Alligator mississippiensis: one gene and its partners. The protein of the gene in region 1 purifies or fractionates together with the protein of each later gene. This does not show direct contact. Links are inferred from orthologs where the notes say so. Each region holds a gene or a part of one and is shown in the gene's direction. Other genes may lie near its edges. The genes, in order: FASN, E3 ubiquitin-protein ligase TRIM39-like and HIF1A.

Evidence for each region.
Region 2: the proteins of FASN (region 1) and E3 ubiquitin-protein ligase TRIM39-like purify together in Homo sapiens (affinity purification with western blotting; 3 studies listed by BioGRID, with this or other methods). This does not show direct contact. The link is inferred for Alligator mississippiensis from reciprocal best matches to the Homo sapiens genes FASN and TRIM21.
Region 3: the proteins of FASN (region 1) and HIF1A purify together in Homo sapiens (affinity purification with western blotting; 3 studies listed by BioGRID and IntAct, with this or other methods). This does not show direct contact. The link is inferred for Alligator mississippiensis from reciprocal best matches to the Homo sapiens genes FASN and HIF1A.

Annotation. Positions count from the first base shown.
Region 1 is NC_081831.1:197,540-205,509, forward strand, and holds the start of FASN (fatty acid synthase), read left to right. Parts: upstream 1-4,869; 5' UTR 4,870-5,153; intron 5,154-5,599; exon of another isoform or gene 5,600-5,744; intron 5,745-7,970. UniProt on the Homo sapiens protein: Fatty acid synthetase is a multifunctional enzyme that catalyzes the de novo biosynthesis of long-chain saturated fatty acids starting from acetyl-CoA and malonyl-CoA in the presence of NADPH.
Region 2 is NC_081824.1:485,826,126-485,833,339, forward strand, and holds the start of E3 ubiquitin-protein ligase TRIM39-like, read left to right. Parts: upstream 1-4,152; coding exon 4,153-4,177; intron 4,178-4,517; coding exon 4,518-5,047; intron 5,048-7,214. UniProt on the Homo sapiens protein: E3 ubiquitin-protein ligase whose activity is dependent on E2 enzymes, UBE2D1, UBE2D2, UBE2E1 and UBE2E2.
Region 3 is NC_081825.1:297,678,625-297,685,583, forward strand, and holds the start of HIF1A (hypoxia-inducible factor 1-alpha), read left to right. Parts: upstream 1-3,859; 5' UTR 3,860-3,977; coding exon 3,978-4,192; intron 4,193-4,736; exon of another isoform or gene 4,737-5,174; intron 5,175-6,699; exon of another isoform or gene 6,700-6,760; intron 6,761-6,959.

The DNA of each region.
Region 1 (7,970 bases):
TTTTGAATTGTGGAGCCCAAAACTGGACGCAGTACTCCAGCTGCGGCCTCACCAAGGCCGAGTACAAGGGGAGAATGACGTCCCAGGATTTGCTTGAGAAGCATCTATGGATGCAAGCCAGCATTTTGGTCACTTTACTAGCCTCAGCATTGCACTGCAGGCTCATGTTCATCTTGTGGTCAATGATGACCCCCAAGTCTCTTTCTTCCATAGTGCTAGCCAACATAGCACTGCCGAGCCTATAAGGATGCTGCGGGTTTTTCTTCCCAAGGTGGAGAACCTTGCATTTATCGGCGTTGAACACCATCAGGTTCTCATCCGCCCACTTGCTGAGCCTGTCCAGGTCAGCCTGGATCACCCGCCTGTCTTCTGGTGTGGATGCTTTGCCCCAAAGTTTGGTGTCATCGGCGAACTTGGCCAGTCCGCTTCTGACTCCAGTGTCCACATCGTTAATGAAGATGTTGAACAGTATGGGTCCAAGGACAGAGCCTTGGGGGACCCCACTGGTCACAGGACACCACGATGAGTGACGTCCATCAATTAGTACCCTCTGGGTCCGACCCCGGAGCCAATTTTCCAGCCAGTGGATCGTGGAGGACCCAAGGCGACAATTGGCCAGTTTCACCAAGAGGCAATCATGGAATACCAGATCGAAGGCTTTTTTTGAAGTCAAGATATATGACATCAATCTCTTCTCCCTTGTCCAGGTGATAGGTCACCTGGTCATAGAAGGAAATGAGATTGGTCAAGCAAGACCTACCCACAACAAACCCGTGCTGGCTATCCCTTAAGATGTTGGCGTCGGCCAGTCCATTAAGGATGGCCTCTTTAATAAACTTTTCTAAGACCTTCCCCGGGATAGAAGTCAGGCTGATGGGCCTATAGTTAGCCGGATCCACTTTCCTCCCTTTCTTGAAGATAGGCACCACGTTGGCCTTCTTCCGGTCTTCGGGCACGACACCAGAGTGCCAAGAGTTTTCAAAGATCCGTGCTAGAGGCTGGGCTATGATGCTTGCCAGCTCCTCGAGTACCCTGGGGTGAAGATTGTCAGGGCTGGCTGACTTGAAGGTATCCAGCTTCTCAAGATGTTCCTTCACGAAGTCAGCATTAGTGGAGGGCAGGGGATCACCCTCACACGGACTTCCCGGCCCTGTAGTGGGCACGGGCGTCCCATGGGACTGATTAAAGACCGACACAAAGTACCTATTTAATAGGTTGGCTTTTTCCCGGGCGTCAGTTGTCAGTTGCCCCATCTGGTTCAGCAGGGTCCAATGTTGCCCCTGCTTTTCCTCCGGCTCCCCACATATCTGAAAAAGGACTTTTTATTGTCCTTGATGCTCAAAGCTACTTGGAGTTCAGTTGCAGCCTTGGCTTTCCTGGTCTGCTCCCTGCAGGACCGGACCAGTGCAAAATAATCCTCCTTGGAGATGACTCCCATCCTCCATCCTTTGTAGGACTTTCTTTTTAGCCTCAGGAGGTCTGCTAGGTCCCTGGAGAGCCAGGGGGGCTGCTGCGCCCTCTTGCTGCCTTTCCTCCAAGATGGAATAGACTTAGTTTGTGCATTGAGGATTGCTCCCTTGAGGAGCAACCACTCTTCTTGAACTCCCCTCTCCGTGGTCATGGTCCCTTAGGGCCTCACTGACAAGCCTCCTGAGCTTGTCAAAGTCGGCTTTGCTGAAGTCCAGGACTTCCGTGTAAGAGTCAGAAGAAAGAGAACACCACATCCTATCAGGTCTGGTAGAATCCATCCTCACCAAAGCTCATACATAGGCTCCAACCCTGCTGCAGGTGTTTGGGAGCTAGAGTTTACAGCTGTGGGAAAGCTTAGGGATCTGGGCTCCATTTCATTCTGATGGTGGTAAGATTCATTGCCATCTTGCTGTTCAGAAGTGAGTTCATCATCACAAGCCCTAGTCTCACCCTTGTAGTTGATGATTCTATTATTCCAGGATGAATGCCCTATGCTGAGAGCAAACATCATCCTGGTGGGTAAAAGCAAGGCTAAGTGGAGCCTTCAAAGGATGCTTTGAAGACCAGGACCAAATTCTTGGATTTGATTCAGCATTTAACATTCAGCAGTTAACGAGAAGCTAGTGTTGTGAGCAAAGTCCTGTGGTGTTATGCTTACAGAAACCTGGATTGAATCTAGGTAACTCGGAAACGCTTGGAATCGATAGTGACTCACGATACGCAGAAAGATATTGTATGTTTTTAAATATTAAAGGTTTTGTCACTGATTTGTACAGAGGGAATGTTCAGAACTGACAAAAGGTGTCCAGAGAGGCCTTTGGAAACTGCTTTCCAGGGTTAGCTAAATAGCAACACCATTTTCTGCCCTTAATGTCATCGCTGCAAGCACATGGCAAGCACGCTAAAACAGCCACACTAGAATCATAACTCTAAACCAGGTACTGTGTTGCATTTGATACCACTTGAAAGTAGCCTCTTCTGCAGCTCAAAAGTAGTTTTGCTACCCATGGTTGCAAATGTTTTGTTTTTTGCTAGATTCCTCACAAATATGATATGTGTATGGGTGGGTGCCAAGATTTGGCCCTTATATTCTGTATTCAGCATGGTCTTCAGGTATTGTTTTTATGTTTGAAGCCCTGGTATTCATACTTTTGTTGATTGATTGATCATTGACATATTCCTTGCTGTTTTATATATATATATATATTTTAAAGCATGTCAGTTCCATAAAAACTACACAATCCTAGAGCCACACTCAAGCCCAGATCATGCATCTTTTTGGCTGAGGCGAAACATCAATGCCGGTTGACAACACTTACCTTTATGAGAAAAACTGCACTTATCATTTTTCTCCTTCTGACTGAGTCCTTACACCACAGTCATGCTTCAGCTGGTACTCTTTTTCCATGTTCACATGCATATTTTTAATTCCTCCAAGGAGTTCTGTGAATTTCCTAGGTTTGATCCTATATTGCTTTCCTTAAAAACACAGTGGGAGGTACAGAGCTGAGATTGTCCCTTTCCTCTCAAAGTGTGGTTGGGCAGCTAACTCTTAGGCATGCTGCTGTCCCTGCTGCCCTGAATAGCAGTGGCTGAAGCACTGTTTCAGAGGGGGCTGGTGGAGGCTGGCAGGAGGACGTGGCTGCAGCTTTGCTCCTGTGGAGCTGAGGAGTTCCATGTGGCTGGGGTCCTTCCTACGACCTTCCTCCAAGTCTTGCAGAAGCAGAGTGTATCTTAGGAGTCTTGGCGGGCAGAAGCAGAGTATCTTAAGAGTACCTTCTACCTTAGGAGTACCTACTACCTTCTTCCAGGCCTTGCAGAAGCAGAGTGTATCTTAGGAGTCTTAAGGGGCAGCTGCTCCAGTGGAATCCCACCACTCCTTGGAGTTTAGGTGATTTCCAGTTCTTATTTCTAAGATTTATGGTGGTGCTTGATATGCTTGTACATATTTGGCTTCATTAAGCTTTTAACAGTCATCTTTTAAAGGAAAAATGTTCCCCCTCTCACACTAGAATGATATGTATAGTGAGTGTTATGCTTTGGGTAACATTAAATCTGTAATGCTAAAACTGAAAAAAATATTACGTTATTTCATAGTTGTCATTCACTGATACAGTGCCAGTCTTTGATTTTTAGCTTCAGTCTCACGTGCCAGGCAGTACAAAGGGCCCCCGTCAGATCTTTATTGCAGAAAGGGCAAATAAATTCAGAACTGAGGTTTCAAACACCTTAGCCTTGCTTCTAACCAAGTGTGATAATGGGGTCTTGTCTTCTGAGACACAGAAAATACATGGAGCAATGTAAAAATGCACAATGTAAATCCATTTAACGGTAACACATGTTAAATACAAGCCCATAGTATATGGTCCAATTTAGGAGACAAACATTAGTAGCAGATGCTTCAGACTTACCTGAATTTGAATGTTGCACTAACATCATGTTTGCATTTGGATGCTGGAGTATCTACGATCCGTGGCCCAACCCTTCTCCATTGTGAAACCATTTGCATGTTTTGCTCTCTCAGGCGCGTGCATCGCAGGGCTGGGGCCAGCACGCAGAAGCCGAGGGACGGCCCGCAGCCACTGTTGCCTCAGCCGTGCTTCCCGCACTAAGCACCGCCTGACTGGATAGCGCTTCTCTGCTCTTCATTCCTGACCCCTTTTCTCACAGGAAAAAGAAAACGTGCACGCGTTCATGCGGCCGGACGTCCTCTGCTTCTCCCAGACGCGTACGTCTGCCCGCAGGGACGCAGCACCCTGGGAGGCCCGGAGAGTTTTGCTGACTCACGCCGATGTAAAATCGACCTGAGTCCCGCAGCAGCCGGCGAGCCGTGCCGCGCCGCGCCGCGCGTCCGCCAGCGCCTGCGGGAACGGGCTCCTCGTCTACCCTCACAGGAAGCCCGAGCATCAGTTCGTATCTGTATAGACTTGAACACAACTGCCACGTGCGAGTTTAAACCAGCATTAACGATGGCCTAGACCACTATGGCGGTAACGAGGGTAAGCGGCCTGGACCGCAGCTCCTTGCGCTCGAGGGTTTATTGTTATTCACAGCATCGTTTCCTGAAGCCAGTGGAGCCACCGAGGAAACCGGTGTAGTCCCAAGTAGAGCAAGTGCCTCGTGGCCTTCCCGCCGGCCCCTCGCCCTTCTCCCGGGCTGGCTGGCTGCCCGTCGCCCTGGCGCTGATTTCCTCGCGGCCCGGCAGAAATGGAGCCGGGCTTTCCGCTCCACATCGGCAGAGAAAACGGCGGGCGGGCGGGCGGGGCGGGGCGGGGCCGGCAGCGTTGCCGGGCAGCTCGGGCGGCGCCTCACTCCCGCCCGGGCCCGGGCGCTTCCTCCGCCGCAGGTCACGTGGTGCCGGCCGGCTGCGCGCGCAGGGGCCCGGGCGTTGCCATGACGACGCGGCCTGGTCGGCGGGACGGGGCGGGACGCGCCGCCGCGGCCTGGAGCAGGAGGCCGCCCCGCCGCAGCCGCGGGAAGGGCCGCGTCCCGGTGCGGCCGAGGCGGCGCTCACGCCCGAGGCGCTTCTGCGCTGCACCGTGTCTGCGCGCACGTCCCGGGGAGGAGGAGGCCCCTCCGCGCCGAGGCCCAGGGGCGCTCCGAGGGCCCCGTGCTCGTGCGGGCCGAGCCCTGCTGCCCCGCGCTAGGGGGCCGGCCGTGCCGGGCCTGCCCGTCAGGAGGCGGTGAGTAGCAGGCGCGGGAGCACGGCCCGCCCGCCCGCCCGCGGCCCGCAGCAGGGGCCAGCTCCGCAGGGCGCTGGAGGGCACAGCCAGCCTGCCCTGGCGCCGTGCCTGGATGCCAGGCAGCTGCCTCGGACACGCCTGGCCTGGCCTGGCCTGGCCTGGTAGCAGGGGCTCCGCAGTCGCTGCCCGACGAGGCGTGTGTCTGCGCGAGTGTCGCGGCGTGGCGTCTCGCGATGTGAAGGATGTGGGGCTGGTGCGGGTGGCGACTGAGCCTTTGGGGAGGACGAGAGTTTGCCCGTCACGGGAGAGGCGACGGGCCTGCCCCTGCGCGCCTCGCTCTGCTGCTGCGTTGCGCTGCCGAGCGAGCAGGGGCTCGGGAGCTCCTGGGTCGGAGCTGCAGGGCGGTGCAGCAGTACCGGACCCGACGCCTCGCTCTGTCCACACAGACGTTTTTACTGGTTACCGTGCTACAGTTCGCAGCACGAGTGTTAGAGACCCAGGACATTGGCGCAGGTGCTCTGCAAAAGTCCATAGCAGTTTCCTCGACCCTCTTTAGAAACGCCTCCTGAGGTTTTGATACCTGCAGACCGTGTGAGTATCGATGCTGTGGGTGGCAAATACTTTTGTACTCGTTTAGGGTGCCTTTCCGGGACATGCAGTTGCTCACTGGGGGAAAAATAGTTTCTAGCAGCTTCTGGAAGGTGTGTTTTCTCTTCCGTGTACACATGTATGACCCCAAGGTATCTCACAACGTGAGCGGATCCCAGTGTTGGGTCCTTGGGCAAGAGCAACACTTTCCCGTCGACCCTCCACTGACTGACTTGTTCACGTTTTGTGGATAAGGTAACTTAATTATAGTTTAGAGGCTACAAATGCTCTTAACTTGCTAGTATTGTTAAAATAGCCAAATGTTTGAGAAAACAATTCGCCTGCTATATAGTAATTTTGGAATTGTAGACTTGAATGACATTTTCAGTAAAATAAAAGATTTAAATATTCTAAACTTGTTGCTCCTTAGCCCCCTTTTAATATATTATGACTTCAGATAACTGACATTTAAGAGGAGGCAGTAGCGAGGCAGTGAGCTGGAAGGTCTTATTTTTGGTCCCTTTGGACTGTTACAAAGGTCTTGTGTAAAGATTGTATTGCTAAGTTTAGCCAATGAAGCACATGTCAGGGTTTTTAAAGGGCACTTATGACAGTGTTTTGATATCGCCCTGTACATGGGCTGGCACCATAGACTCTTATATAGCAGTGCAGAAACTGTTCAGTGCATTAGACATATTTTGAGATAAATGGATTCTGAACTAATGACAGTACTGTTCCTTTTTTTACATAATAAGCTTGGTGCTTGTTCATTCCTGCATTAGAATTACGTTACTTCATATTTTTAGCTGTGGTAAAAGCCAAATGCATTTGGACCAGCTACAGCTGAGAAGAGTAAAAGGGAGATATAAAAAGGATAGACCTTTCTGTTATGTTGTCCAATAAGCACTTCCAGTAATGTTGCTGCTAGTAGAAAATCTCAATCTTTGCCTACTCCACTGGAAAAGATAACATTTATAAAAATGTAAATAAATGCCTTCTCCAGATATATCCAACTACCAATTTTAATCTAAAGAGAGCATTCACTTAATTTTTCTTTTCTTAGCGAAGACTAAGAAAACTGATGGGAAAACTGAGTCAAAGGAATTAAAAAAACGATCGGACCACTGAGTCCTGTAGTCTAGCTTCTTCCCTTTAGTAATAGCTATTACTTGACGCATCATAAAAAGGCAAAGCTCTGTCTGACTACTGTGCTTGTCACTTCCACCCTGATTCCCACAGCCCCGCACCCTAAAAATGAGATTTGTCTGGTCTTTGTTGAAAGAAATGATGTTTAAATTGTGGCATCCTTTTGGAGCAGGGATATTTTTATAAGGTTGACTGATCTCAAAATCTCTCTTGGATTTTAAGAGATTAAAAAGCCACCACTGGAAAGACACGCTTGTCTGAGTTATTGTTCTGTGCATCCCCATGTGTATGCGGACAGGATTATCTGACATGACCAACACAGAATAGCATTGCACTGTGAGAGAAACTGTACTGATTTCAGAGATTTAGGGAAACAGGCTAAGTGGATGTTATCATTTATTATTTTTATAGGACCAGGAAGTATGAATGGCACCTTAAAGCACAAATGAAGTCATGGTCTGTCCTCTGAAGATTTGGGTACAATAGTATATAGTGATGCGAATGAGCAAGTTTAATAAACAGTAGGAAGAGATTGAAGTGAGGAAGAAGAGTTACATGTGAATTCTCACTTTAAGTTTTTGCACCTCTTGATAGTTCCAGTAAAAAAAAAAAATTAAAATATATGTGTTATTGATTCATATCACATGGACATTGTGAGAATGCACTGTGGATGTATTTGAATGAAGGAAGATAAATGGTTTGACAGACTCAAATTAGAAGGAAATGATATGGGGGAAAAAAGGGGTACCAAGGTGTTTGTGGGAGAAGATGATAAATGGCCCATTGGGGTTGGCCTCATAAGCAGAATGAAAGGTTCAGGTAGGCTGTGCAGTAAGAGAGCCAGTTAGTTGGATTACAATTTGAGTAAAATTACCACAGATGTCTTTAAGAAGAAAAAAGGCATGTACGATCCATATCTCTGCAAGTCTGAAGTGGGTGGTGGCAACCCTGGACAATGGGAAACTATGGCTGTCTTTTCCAAGGGGCACTGGGAAAGGCAACGTTTAGGATTTTGTTGTGGAGCTTCTATAAATATTAAATTATTTTGTTCCATTCATCCATTTTCTACATACATTGCCAGTA
Region 2 (7,214 bases), on another chromosome or scaffold:
AAGTAAGAGGTCTGGTTAAACTTACTTCCACACCTCCCATCACAAGCTCTGCCCTCATTACCATGGCATTGCCTATGCATGTCATTCATTTACATGCCTCTCTGCTAAGAACCCAAGTGTAAAGCCATGCATTCAGCTTTTCTCAGTCACTTGCTGATTCTTCCTGGTTTCTTGCTGACTTTAGCAGCCTCTCCAAGGTTTTGCTTCTAATTTATCTCCTGATGATAGCTGGTGGGCTGCATCTTCTTCTTCTTACGCAATGGGCTCTGTACTTTACAACACTACAACCTTGTTAGAAAACTGCTTGCCTAAACGTTTGCAAGGCTATTTTTAATACATCATTCTTCCTTGCGGGCAGCAGCTCTGCTGAGATGCAGAAAAAAGCCATTATTCAACTGGAAATCCAGTGCTTTCCAAGATATCAATATTGTAACCCTAGCAGTTGGGAGAATCAGGGCTGGGCAGACCTCAGGCTGGGGCAGGGTTATAGTCCTGGGTGTCAGATCCATGGTCAGATTTCCCCTGTCTCCTTTCCCACAGGTGCTCCTGGAGACCGGATACTGCCGACAGGAGCCGTGCATGAGTGCACAGGGAGCGAGAGCCCAGGCCCCCGACCGGTGAGATCCCTGCTGGGGAGACGTGGCTGCTGCACTGGAGCCTGTGGCAGCCATGGGCCTTCCCTTCCTGGCAGGAGCTGGAGGAGCAGGACCCAGGAGGTGTGCAGGTGGGGCTGAGGGTGCAGAATTGCCTCGTGTCGTCCAGACCGAAGCCGGTCCAGCACCAAGAGCTCTGGAGACAGGACGCAATGCAGGCCATGCAGCCCCCTTGTGAGGCCGAGCTGCCCTCCACGACCCCACAGCTGGCAGCACGGGATGAGCTCCCCACCCCAGAGCCCTGGCGCCAGCTCTTCCGTGGCCTGTGCTACCGGGAAGCTGAGGGCCCAGGGAAGATTTGCAGCCACCTGCGGGAGCTGTGCTGGCGCTGGCTGGAGCCCCAGTGCCGCAGCAAGGAGCAGATGCTGGAGCTGGTGGTGCTGGAGCAGTTCCTGGCCATCCTGCCCCCGGAGATGCGGAGCTGGGTGTGCGGGTGCCGCGTGGAGACGTGTGCCCAGGCCATGGCCCTGGCCGAGGGGTTTCAGCTGGGGCAGGCGGAGGACGAGAAGCTCCAGGTGAGAGCCTTTGTTTGGTGCCATCTGCACTTCCACGTGTCAGGGGATGTTTCCCCCAGATCCTGGCTCCCCAGTGACATTAGGCATTAGCTTGCCATTAGGTTGCCTTTTTTGCCACAATCTCCTCACTTACACTTCGGACAGCTGAAAGCAGGGACCTAGTGAGCTCTTAATTCCTAGGTATCCTCTTGCTAAGATCTGCAGACTTCTGGATGGCTTGGGAATCAAATGCTGTGAGAGCTTTGATCTCTGTTCCCAAGCAAGAAGAGCAGAAAGGTTTCCTGGCTGGGGCAGTATTAAAAGTGTAATGACGCAAATCAAAACGCTGCACCTCTCTTCAGATATCTGCACAGCATGCTCCAACAGTATGGATGACAGAGCTGTGACCTGGTGTCTGTGTGGTGTGGGTTGCATTGTGCAAGCATGAGAAGGAAAAGTTCAGAGAGATGAAGGCGTCTTCTAGGGCCCTACAACTTGAGAGTGCTGGTGCTGAATGAGAAGAGTCTCATCATGTCCATCCCCCCACTTTGAAAGGTGTATATAATAATGAAGAGTCAATAATATATTAATAAAATTCCAATATAATGATGTCTGTCTATCTTTCTGTCTGTCCATAATGCTTTTGTTTGTGTGCATGCACTGCTGAGATAGGGTTTCCATACATCTGGGTTTCCCCAGACATATCCCTGCTCTTCTTAAGTCCTCTGATCTCCATCCAGGTGGGCTGTCTGGGATTTCCCTTTGCTCTGGGGGTGGGAGCAGGGAGAGCCTGATTGGAGGCAGCAGGAGCACACACAGACCTGCCTGCAGCTGTGGAGGCAGCAGACCCATGCACTGCTCCCTGCTGCCTGCGATCCCCTCCCTCTGCCACCCCCAGAGCAAAGCAGAAATGCAGACATGATCAGGGCGGGGAGATCGGGGGCTACAGCTGTGATGGGGTGGGGGCAGAGGAGAGTGGCCTGTTCTCCAGTAGGGAAAGGGCAGGGGGCAGCGGGGAACTCATCATTCATTCCTGCCTGTGGCAGGGGGTCAGTCTAGATGCTCTGTTCAGGTCCCTCCTGACCCAAGCTACTATGAAACTATGAAACTATTAAACTTCATGGCTGGGCGGCCATGCAGAGATTGGTGCCTGTGCTCGGAGGGGCTGAGCGGCCAGGAGTCGCTGCGCGGGGAAGGGGGAGAGGGGGGTTGCCCTGGCCAGGCTGCCCACAGGGCACTGAAGCCCCATCCCAGGGCAGGGGATGCCACTAGCCTCCCCTCCTCTCCCCTCAGCCTGTGCTGGGGATGGACACCCTCCACCACCGCCTGCATGAATCGGAGCCACCGCACTCCATCCTGGTCAGGACGGGGACAGCTGGGGCCCTCTGGCAGGGCTGGTGGGGGTAGGGGGCCGTGGGTTGGGAGTGAGGGGCATCGGGGATGGGGGACTGTGGGTTGGGAGTGCAGGGGGCACTGGCAGTGCCAGAGGACTGCAGGTCTGGAGTGAGGGGCACCATCATGGCCCGGGGGTCAGGGTACGGCAGTTCGGTGAGTGAGGGGCACCGGCAGGGCAGGGTGAGTGGGTTGGGAGTGAAGGGCAGCAGCAAGCATGGCGGGGCTGTGGCTTGGCAGTGGGGGGAAGCAGAATGGGTAGAGGCAGGGCCACACTTCGGGGCCGGCCATGTAAACACTCCTTTGAAATCCATCCTTCATGATGGGCGATTAGCTAGTATTCAAGTATATTTTAATAATAGATAATATTTATATAATGTATTTACCTTTCATTTTCTCACACCATCTTTTCTAGGCAATAAACTATGATCTCACTATTGAACTGATAAAAAAGCACCTTTGATCTTGCGCCTTGAGTTGACCACATTTACCACTGAACTCACCATCTTGAATGCAGGAAAGGGATGGGCTGCGAACCTTAGACCCAGAAGAAATAAAGCAGAGAAGTTTAATCAAGAACTCACTCTTATCAATCCAAGGCCTATTACTCACTGCGTACTTGTTGGCAGGTGAACTGCTCAGCTGTCCCTTTGCCCAGAAACAGAAATGGGGCAGATGAGACAACTTTATTGTGAGTTTTGAGTGCTTCCATGAACATGGAGCAAGCTTCTTTGCATCTACCCTGTGGTTAGGGCACGAACAGGGGCAGTTTCCATGCCATGCCAGGTACCATGGTGGAGGAACTGACCCCAAGTTCACAATCAAGCTTTCCTTACAGTAACGGGACCTCAAACCCTTCTTTCCTTCTCTGGGCACCTGCTGCTCCAAGTGCGTGGGGAGTTTGAGATCCCTGATCTTGGTGTGTGACCTACTGGCTGGCTTGTCAGGCTGCAGGAAGCTGCTCTCTGTCTAGCTCAGGGGTCAGCAATGTTTTTGGGCAGAGTGCTAGAACATCCACAAACTCTACCTGTAAGATGCTGGTGGGCCAGGGGCAAATGGCCGGGGAGCCATGATGGGCCCAATCCTTCTTGTGGCAGTGCCAAACCAGCCCTTTCGCTGCTGTCTGCCCTGAGGCACACATGCCAAGCACAATGCCTTTACGTGTCACACTCTGGAACCTGTGCTAGGATTGCTAACCCCTCATCCAGCTTGTAGGCACTATCGGATAGCTCCACTTCCACAGAGCTGGGGTGCCCCTGGGGTGATAACAAATGCCTTCAGGTCCTGGGCATCACAGCTGGCAGAGGTCCCATAAGGTGAGGACAGCTATGCAGGGGTTGACGGGGGAGAAATGAAGGGAACAGCCCTGTGACAGGCTGGTTTCTGCCCCACTGGCCTGAGGTCTGGGCTCACTTCCCTTGTGTGGATGCTGGACCCAGCTCTCTGTAATGCCTGGGAAGGCTGATGGACCCCGTTAGTGTCAGGATGGCTCTAAGGGACTGTGTGGTGTCTCCGTAGCTCCCTGTGCCACAGGCCTGATGAGAACCTGTGATCATCTTCTGCCCTTGTGAGTCCTAAGCACAATCTCCAAACCTGTGCCACCTCTGGGCAGAATGGCACGCAGCTGGCCTGGCACAGGTGGGACTTAAGGGGTGAGAATTAGAGCAACAACTGGGAAATTCATGTTTGGAGTCACTGGTTGCAGGATGGGAAATTAAAATAAATTGAAATTTTAAAAATCCTGCATCATGTTGAAGGCACTGCACAGCGCACTGATGGAGTGTACTGTTTCCTGCGTGTTTGTGAGTCAGGGGTGGTTTCTCATCTCTGCCCCCCTGCCTGTGAACAACCTGTCTCCCCTCCCTTTCTCCTCCCTGCCTCTATTGTTCCTTGCCCTCATCCCTCCTTTCTGTCCACTCAGGTTACTTCTTCCTTTTGCTGTCCCTTTGCCCCCATGGCCCCTCCTCTCTGTTCTTAGAAGTGCGCTTAGAGGAAATCACCTTCTGTTCTCAGGTAGGCACCACCCAGGACAAGCCCAGCCTGCACAGAGCACAAAGAACAATCAGCAGAAGACGGGGCCGTGCAGCCTCAGACCCTCCAGGACAGGACATGGCTGAAGAGGCCACCTGCTCCATCTGCCTGGACCTCCTGAAGGAGCCGGTGACCATAAACTGTGGACACAACTTCTGCCAAGTCTGCATCACCCGATACTGCGAGGACCGTGTCGATGACTCAGATGACCCTGTCCCCTGTCCCAGCTGCAGAGCAGAATTTCAGAGAGGGAGCTTCCCGCTCAACACTCAGCTCAAAAACCTGGTGGAGAAGATTAAAGAGCAGAGTGTGAAACCAGGAAAGGAGCAGACGGAGAATCACTGTGTGGAGCACGAGGAGAAACTCAAGCTCTTCTGTGAGGAGGATGGAAATGCCATCTGTCTGATCTGCAGGGAGTCCCTGGCTCACCACAGTCACACAGTGCTCCCCATCCAGGAGGCTGCCAACAATTACCAGGTAGGTGACACCAAAGACCTAGGAAAGCCCATTGCACAGACACACACTTACCTGGCAGGAGACATCCCATGATTGGTTTCAGCTCAGGTGGTTGTTCTTATCAGGCAAAGGCAATCCCCTTCTCTTCGTCTGTGAATGACTTAGTGTAGCTGAGTTGAAGGTCTATCTCTTGCACTGCAGGCAAGCTGACCTCTGAGAGAGTCTGCAAATGCCTCCCGATGCAAAGATTGGCTCATTGGTCGCACCCAGAGAGGGGTGGTGGACAGATCGGTTTTGTCATGGAGGGATATGGGCAGTGGAGTTCCCCAGGGCTCGGTCCTCGGGCCTGTGCTATTCAACATGTTTATCAGTGACTTGGAGTGGGCGTGGAAAGCACACTGTCCAACTTCAGTGATGACACAAAGATGTGGGGCGAGGTGGGCACACTGGAGGGGAGGGGAGGGACAGAACCCAACTAGATCTAGACAGGTTACAGAGGTGGGTGGATGAGAATAGGATGGAGTTCAACGCAGACAAGTGCAAGGTGCTGCATCTAGGCAGAAGGAACCAGCAACACACCGGTAGGCTGGGGAATACCTTTCACAACAACACAGCTGCTGAAAGAGATCTTGGAGTCATTGTTGACTCCAAGACAAACATGAGCCACCAATTCAAGGAAGCAGTCAGGAAGGCTAACGCACCTTCTTGTCATGCATCCACAGATGCATCACAAGCAGGGCCAAGGAGGTGATCCTCACCATCTATGTGACACTGGTCAGGCCGCAGTTGGAGTACTGCGTCCAGTTCTGGGCGCCACAACTCAGGAGGGATGTGGCCAGCATCGAGAGGGTCCAGAGAAGGGCCACTCGCATGACCAGGGGGCAGCGGGGCAGGCCCTCCAAGGATAGACTAAAGGGCCTGAATCTATTCAGCCTCCACAAGAGAAGACTGAAAGGGGACCTGGTGGCCATCTATAAACTCACTGGGGGGACCAGTGGAAAATAGCTGATGCTCTGTTCCCTCAGGCACCACCCAGGATAGCAAGGAATAACAGCCACAAATTGATTGAGAGCAGGTTCAGCCTGGATATCAGGAGGTATTTCTTTATGGTTAGGGCTGTCAGACTCTGGAATGGGCTCCCAAGGGAGGTGGGGCTCTCCCCTACCTTGCGGGTCTTCAAAGGGAGGTTGGACAGATATCTGGCTGGGGTATTATGATCCCAGCACTCGTTCCTGCCCAGGGCAGGGGGTCAGACTTGATGATCTGTTCAGGTCCCTTCTGACCCGAGTAGGTATGAAACTATAAGATCTTGAACAGAAAACTTAAGTTGATGAGGAATAGCTCTTGGGCTTGCCTTTAGCTTGCTCCTTTGGCCTTTTGGAAAAATGAAATTAGTGGGCACCTGAACTCCAAGGCCTCTGGGCTTGTGGCTTGCACATAGGATGCTTGCCATGGATTTGGCATTATCTGAAGCCCCAACCTGAAGTGTCTGCAAGGGAGAGTACTTGCTGGTGGTAGCACCACATGGCCATGAATGATTGAGCTCTGCTTAGTTGATAGGATTGAGAACTAATTTGGCCAAAGAGATAACATTTTAAAAAAGAAATACATTTTGTCTAGTGCAAGGTGTGGAGAAATCACCCAGCCCCCAGCCCCCCCCCCGAGTAAATCGCCCAGTATAGCGGGGGAGAGGCACCTTCTGGTCACTGAATCATGCTCTGGGCCTCCAGAATTCCCTGGACATGGATGTGAGTAACTTACCTGAAATCTAGTGAGGAACTTAGATTGAGGTGCTCTAGTCGCATATCAAAAGGTTAACCAGCTTATATTGATTTGCTCAAAATGGGTTTTCTTTCTGTATGCTGCTGTGTGCATCCCTCTCTCACCTTATCCCTCTTTAATAAATAAATTGACCTGTTTTAGCACGCCCCACTGTGTGTGCTTAAGAGAGAAGGGATACCCCTGCTAGCTCACTTTGCTAGGCTTGCTAAGGTGGACTTGAATTTTCTACTTTCCTTCTGTATGAAAGATGCACCCCCAAATCCCACGGTGGGTTAAGCAGACCCAAGATCTTTAGGGTCTGTGTACCCCAGGTGGCACAGAGACCTAACAAAGATCTGAGTCCAGGTGGTGACAGCAGTTATGCCAGGCTTGTGAATGGGCTCCAGGGAGGGGGTTGGCTGGATGT
Region 3 (6,959 bases), on another chromosome or scaffold:
GGTTCTCGCCCTTCCTGGGCCCCCTGGCTCTGTTCTAGGCTGCAATGTTTTGCCTGGTCACCCCGTCTGCACCTTGAGCCCAGCCCCTGGCAAGGCTCAAAGTAGTCACGTGCCCCTCAGGCCCTGCTGGGACCTCCACCTCCCCTTCAGTCCCGAGCGGCCCAATAACAAGAGAATTAGCTCACAGACTGTGACCCAAAGCTCTGAGTATGCTGGCTGCATAGCAAAGCACTTATCCTGGGCGTAGCTCCTTATAAGCTATCAGTCCCCGTACTTGCAGGGTCTCAGTCCATGGCTCCAGCTCCAGCCATCTTGGGGCAGAGCTCCTTTCCCTGGAGCCTGCTCAGCCAGACGGATTCCCTGGCTCAGGCTTTGTCAGCTGTGTGCCTGCCCCCCCCCCCCCGGTGTCTCTGGGCTTGCTGGCTGGTTAGTCTGACAAGGTAGCTTACTGCTACTGGCCAGCCTGTTTTCCCTGTCAGGGCTTCGTTCAGCTGCCTGCAGCGCTGGGCTTTCTGCTGCCTGTGGCCCTGCAACTGTTCCCTTGGGAAGTTACTCCCCAGAACAGCCACAACCAGTGTCGCTACAGGTTCGTCTGATGGTTGCTGACTGGTAGAGTATTAGCTACCTGTCTGTCCGGAGCCAGCTCAGGTTACTGCAACTTCAGTAATAGGAGCCCTCTGGCTCCCTATTATAGCATGGATACCAGCACGGCTGAGCTTTGTACGGGTGTAGCAAACATCCAGCTCCACCTGAGCAAACAAACCACACCAGTAAGAGTTCGGTTTTATTGGTATAACTGCATGCGTATTAAGGAGTTCATCTGACATAACTGTGTGGGTTTGGGATCACACCTCTCCACATGCCTGACTCACATAATTAATTGTTCTTAGACACTCCTATTAAAGATAGGGCCCAAGTGGATTATTGTAACTTTTACTGTTGATTTAATTCCTAAAAGCCTAGTTACTCTGGTGGACAAGGTTCTTTGGGTAAATCCGATATCTTTTATTAGACCAACTCAAATATTATGTAGTTACTTTGGGAAACACATTGTGCGTGGCTGAAGACCAGCCACAGAGAAATAACTGTTACACTGTGCTGTTTACCACAAGGACTTCATTGGTGGGTTGTTGTCGTTTCTCTTCATCAAAGCAAAAGACTAATTAAAGGTGCGCCATAACAAGGAAGTGTTCTAGGGTGTTTGCATTTGCTTAACACATCTTCTCATCCAGTAGGCCAGTGGTTCCCAAACTCTTGACAGATTGCACACCACCAATTTAAAATGACACAACCTTAAGTACTACCAGCACATTTTTGTCATATAAAGTAATTCTAATACATTTGTTAACACGTACCACTGATAGGTTGTCCATGTACCACTGGTGGTATGTGTACCACAGGATGGGAACTGCTGCAGTAGGTCATTTGCCCTAAGACTTACCATATTTACTTGAAGACAACCCTGATTACAACCCCAATAATTACATTCTATATATAGAAAATACAACATTTTCCAGGTGTAGAATCTATTTAGTGATGTTTTGCCTTGAATTTGTCCCCTTCCCACTGCTACAGTAGGGAAAATAAATCAGAGCGGGGGGGTGGAGAAAGTAGGCCCTTTGCTCTATGCTTCCTGCCCCCACCCCCATTTTATTCCCATGGCAGCCCCTTTCTCTTTACTGTCAGACCCTGATCTCCCTGAGCACATAGAAGGGAAGAGCAAATTTGAAAGCAATGACCTTGTTGTCATTGGGAGGCACCTGGGTGCACAGTGCAGCAGAGGGGCATGTGATCCCTAGGGCTCATGGCCCCCTGCTGGTGCAGACCAAGGGGTGTGTGGCCCCCAGGCACTTGGAAGTTGGACAGCCCTCTTCTGACATAAAGCAAAATGAGGTCCTGACTGCATTCGTATGCGTGGAAGTGCGGATTACAAGCAAGCTGGAATCTCTAACCAGCATGCTTCCCTCCTGCGTCCTGCGGAAGGAGCCTAAGTGACTTCCCAAGGTCACACAGGGTGTCAGGGCAGGGAACGGCAACTGGGTCTCCCGCATTTCAAGCCAGTATCTTGACTACTAAGCCATCCTTCCTGCTATCTGTAATGAGCTGCAAGAAATGCTGAATTATAAGGATCCCTCAACTAGTGACAAGCTAGGTATCTAATGCTGTCCGGATTAATTTTTCTGTCTCAAAGGGCTGCACCCATATGGGGGAATTTTATGTTAGTGGAACTTCCTTTGGTTACCTAGGTACAAGTGATTGACTTGATTTATACATTTGTCTTTGCAAGCAAAGCCAATACTGTAGAAAAAATCCAAGCCAATAATGTAGAAAAAGGCTAGTTTCTAGAGTGCCTAACATATCAGTTTTAAAGCCACTGAGAGCCCATTTGGTAGGCAGAAAGACTTCAAAGAAAAAATACCAGTGCTGATTGAAGACTGTTTAAGATCATTTTCCTACATTGTCCAAACAACCAGAATCCCAGAGTCAAGGCAAGAAGTCTCCACTGTTTGTTCTGGTTTTGTGGGGGGAGGGGGGTTGTTTTAAATGGAGCTTGGTTAGAAGCGGACGTGGAAACAACTACAAAAACAACATATGAATAAGGGGGGGATAAAAATGATTATCAATTGCTACCAATTAGAAACTATGTAGTATAGAAAATTGATAAGGGAAGCAAAAGAATATATAAAGAGAAGCATGTAGACAGCAGAAATGAAGGCAATAAAAGAGTTTAAGTATATCAAGAACAAAAGGATTCCTAATATGATATTAAGTGCTTAATAGATGGGCATGGTACTTTCAGTAATACAAAAAAAGGCAGAAATGTTAGATGGATATTTCTGTTCTGCATTTGGGAGGGGAAACAAATGACTTTTTCAGGAGATAGAATGAAATGCTTGCCATTACTACAGTAATAATTAGCATGTTAACGAGTAGCTTTTAAAAGATAAGTATTTTTACATCAGCAGGTCTGAACAACTTGATTCCAAGAGTTTTAGAAGAGAGTTAATGCTGCTTTTTTCAGCAAGTCTTGGAAACCTTGCAAAAGTCCAAAGAACTAAATGTCAAACTAGTTTGATAATACAGCTACTCCTTGCTTAATGTTGTAGCTATGTTCTTGAAAAACGTGACTTTAAGTGAAACAATGTTAAGCGAATCCAGTTATATCACAGTAGTTACCTACTAGGAGGCAGTGGCCAAACAATGTTATAACCAAACATTGTGCGACTTAAAACGAGTACGTTCTTTAATTGAATGCTAACAGAGGGCACTTTAATATTGCCAATAGTAATATTATACATACGTATTTTACTTAAACTCTGCTCCCTAAATTATATCATGCCTTTTGTTTTGATGCAGTGGAAGCCTCTAATACCTTTTTGTCTCCGTTTTTGCTTAACTGCAGCAATCCCTACAGTTAATAGCGTAACTGCTGTCGAATCTATGCAACTCACTTTTGGAACTTGGCTGATGCTTATTTAGCCATCGTATATAAAAATCTGCATTGGGTCATGGCTTTACAATACCAGTAAGGTCATGGAATCGTGGTTTCCATGCCTTGTCATACATGGCCAGCTTTTAAGTTTCTCTCTGCAATTTTCAGCATGGCAAAAATGCGAAACAGAAATAAATGCTTGCCACTCCATAGATGTATAGGAAATCAAGAGTATATGTTGTTTCCCCAACAGCCTGGGCATTTCTGAAGATTTTGTCCCATTCTTCACTGGGTATTCCTCCCAAGGTTCAGACAGGGGTCTTTTTTATTCTCTCAGTATAGAAAGATTATAAGTGTTTAGTTTTGTCTTATACAATTCTTATTCTTGGCACGTTTACAGATGTGGAGGTGTTACAGATGAACAAAACCTTTCAGAGTGCCTTCAAATGAAACCGTGGTTGTGAACAATTTCTGAGATCATTTCTCAAGCGTGCTTACATTCTGTTGGATGCTGCTGCCAAATAAGCTGAAATAAGATAAAGCCATGAAAATGTGTGAAAAGCTCAGTAGCGCTTCAAGCTTTCTGAAGAAAAGCTCATTTGGGTACAAGGCTTTCCAGGGAATGAAGAAGTGGGGAGGAGGCCCATCCGGCAAGATTAGGTTCCACTCTCACTACCTGCATGCAGATACAGGCTTGGCATGTGCAAGTTATTGCCTGCCTGTGTCTTTGAGAAATTGGCATTTTCCATCTCACTCCAGGTAATGCCTTCAACTTCAGAGATTTAAAAAAAATTTTTTTTAATTGAGAAGCAAGTTGATAGAGCTGGAATTGCTGTTCCTGAAGCTCTAGACCTTCTTTCAGAATAGGGAAACTCAGCGATAGAAAAGGAAATATATTGGTGCCTGGGGTGAATCCTTCCCAAGCAACACAACTTGTTATACCCCCATCTAAGAAATGTGGATACCCCAAGAAAAGGGTCAGAAGAGTCCTGAATGCTGCCTGGTTTCCCCTCACTCCCAAATCTCGCTTCAAAAAGGAAGATCTTTGAACCAGGACTGCAGAAGTAAATGTTAAACCAGTGTTAAAAGATCTAAAGTGTGAGGTCATAGGCTCACCATATTTTCAGGTCATATTTTAAAGGTCAAGCTTATAAAGCTGTCTTTTCAGGATGTACCTATATATTAGTAAGCCTATAGATTCAGGCAATATGGTACACATTATAGGAGCAAAAGTATCCACTGAGTTAAGAGTCTAAAATACGAGGCAAAATTGTAATACAGGGACTTGATACCTAATTCATGCTTTCCTTTAAAAATAACAAGGTGTATTTAAAGAGCCTTGTACATGCCAGTTCTTTAATACACAAAGCAGTTTATAAGAATTATCCAGTTAGTTGCCTCATTTGATATCTATTAAGCTTTCCAGATGCCTCTGAGTAGCAGTCTTCACTGCGTACTATCTTGGTGAGAATATATTAATATTTTAAAATCTGTAATTATTTTTTTTCTTAACTCTGAATCCAGTCTTGCCCCCATCAAAAGAGAAAACAGTCATGTGCTACCAGTTCACATGAAACCAGAAGTTATTAAAATGGCAAAAATTTTAGTTTTCGGACTTGACTTGTGATTTTTGTCCGTCGCGCTGTCTGCGTTCGCTTTCCAGCAGTGTCCTGCAGTGGTCCTGTTGGGCTGCGTAGGGAATGGGCGCCAACATACAACTTACATTACAGCTGTCTCCAGTCTGAAAGTAGGACAGGGATGTAACCATACAATGAAAACTGTTAGTAAGCAATCTCGAGGAAGCGTAACAGGCCAATCTGCTGTTATGAGAATTCTCCCTTTAATACCGTTTTGCTACCTGTTATCTGTCTTAAATAGAAACCGTTATAAATTGTAAGACTAGAAGAGGTGGGAAGGATCATCACTTACAAACCTCTGGTCAGATTCATTATTTGCCATCCCTTAAACATCCTCCAGTGAAAGAGATTCAAAGCAATTTATTCTCTTGTTCTGCAGGTCTTGCAGCTAGGACGTTTTCTCCTGGGATTTGATCTAAACCTGCTTTGCTGTAATTTAAACCTTGCCTCCTGTCCTGACCTCTGTCGCAGGGGAGAGCAAGTGTTTCTCCATCTTCTAAATAGCTGCCTTCAAATATTTGAAAATTGGCTATCAGCCTTCTCCACCCCCCACCCTTTAATCTCCTTTCCTTCAAACTAAACATACCTAGTTTCTTCAACATTGCTTTTCATCTGCCTTACCTCCATCACTCACTCTCCAGTTTCTGTCCTCTTTTAAATGTAGTATAATAACTCTTTGAACACAACCCAAATCTCCCCCTCCCCCCCTTTTTTTAATCAAGTTGCTGATTCCTGTTGAGGTTGATCTGCTGTAACCTCAGATGCTTCTTGGCAGTGCTACTGCCAAGCCAATCCCCGTTCTGCATCTGCATTTGGTTTTTTTCTCTACAAGTAGCACCTTACATTGGTCTGGGTCAGATTGCATTTTGTTCTCTCCAAGCTAGTTCTCCAATTTATCAAGATCCTTTTGAATTTTAATCCTATTCTGAAAAGTGCTTGAAACCCTTCCCAACAAATTTTGATGAGATTCTGTATTCCTGCATCCAAGTAATAAAAATGTTAAACAGCATCCAACCCAGAACAGGACCCTGTGGAAATCTCACTTGAGGCTCCTTGCCAGCCTGACATCATTAATAGCTATGCTTCGCTTGCAGCTATTCAACCAATTAGAACTGCCGTTAGGTGGATCCATAACTAGCCCATATTTCTCCGACTTGCTTATGAGAATGACATGTCAAGCGCCTTGCTAACGTTCAGGTATATTAAATGCACCAAATTCCACGTATTCACACAATGTTTTACCCTGTCAGAAAAGGAAGTTAAATTGACAAGATTTTTTTCTTAAATCCATATTGGCTACTGGTGCTTATCCTCTCCAGTTATTCATCATTTAACTTTTATAATTGGCTCTAGTAATTTCCCCAAATACTGAAGTCAGGCTAATTGGTCTATAATTCCCTAGGTCCTCCCTTTTTCCCTTTCCCTATTTTAACCCTTCTTCATTTTGTTGGTACATTGTCTATGAGCCAAGAGCTGGCACACGTCACTGGTGGTATTGAGATTTCTTCGGCTACATCTTGATATTTTCCTGCAGGGTGTGATATTTTTCACCTGCTATAGTTGTGAAGCATACAATAAATGTGAGGAGGACATTTTAAATCTGCCTTAGTGTATTTTGATGAAACTTACAGTCAGGCTGTTTTCCAGGCACAGTCAGGCAATGACTCAACTTCCTCTGTCGCAGATGGGGCTTTAACGTAATGAAAGAAAAGGTGTTTGTTTCAGTAAAAACCACAAAATTGGCAACTGGTTTGGGGCAGTAATTTTATCTGAAGCTACTGTTGGTCTCATTTGCTTTTTTACCAGCTTTAAATTTGATTTTTAAATTGCCCCTTTAAACCTGTAGCCTTTTGGGAGTGGTCACTAGAATTCAAGCTCATTTAAAGGGA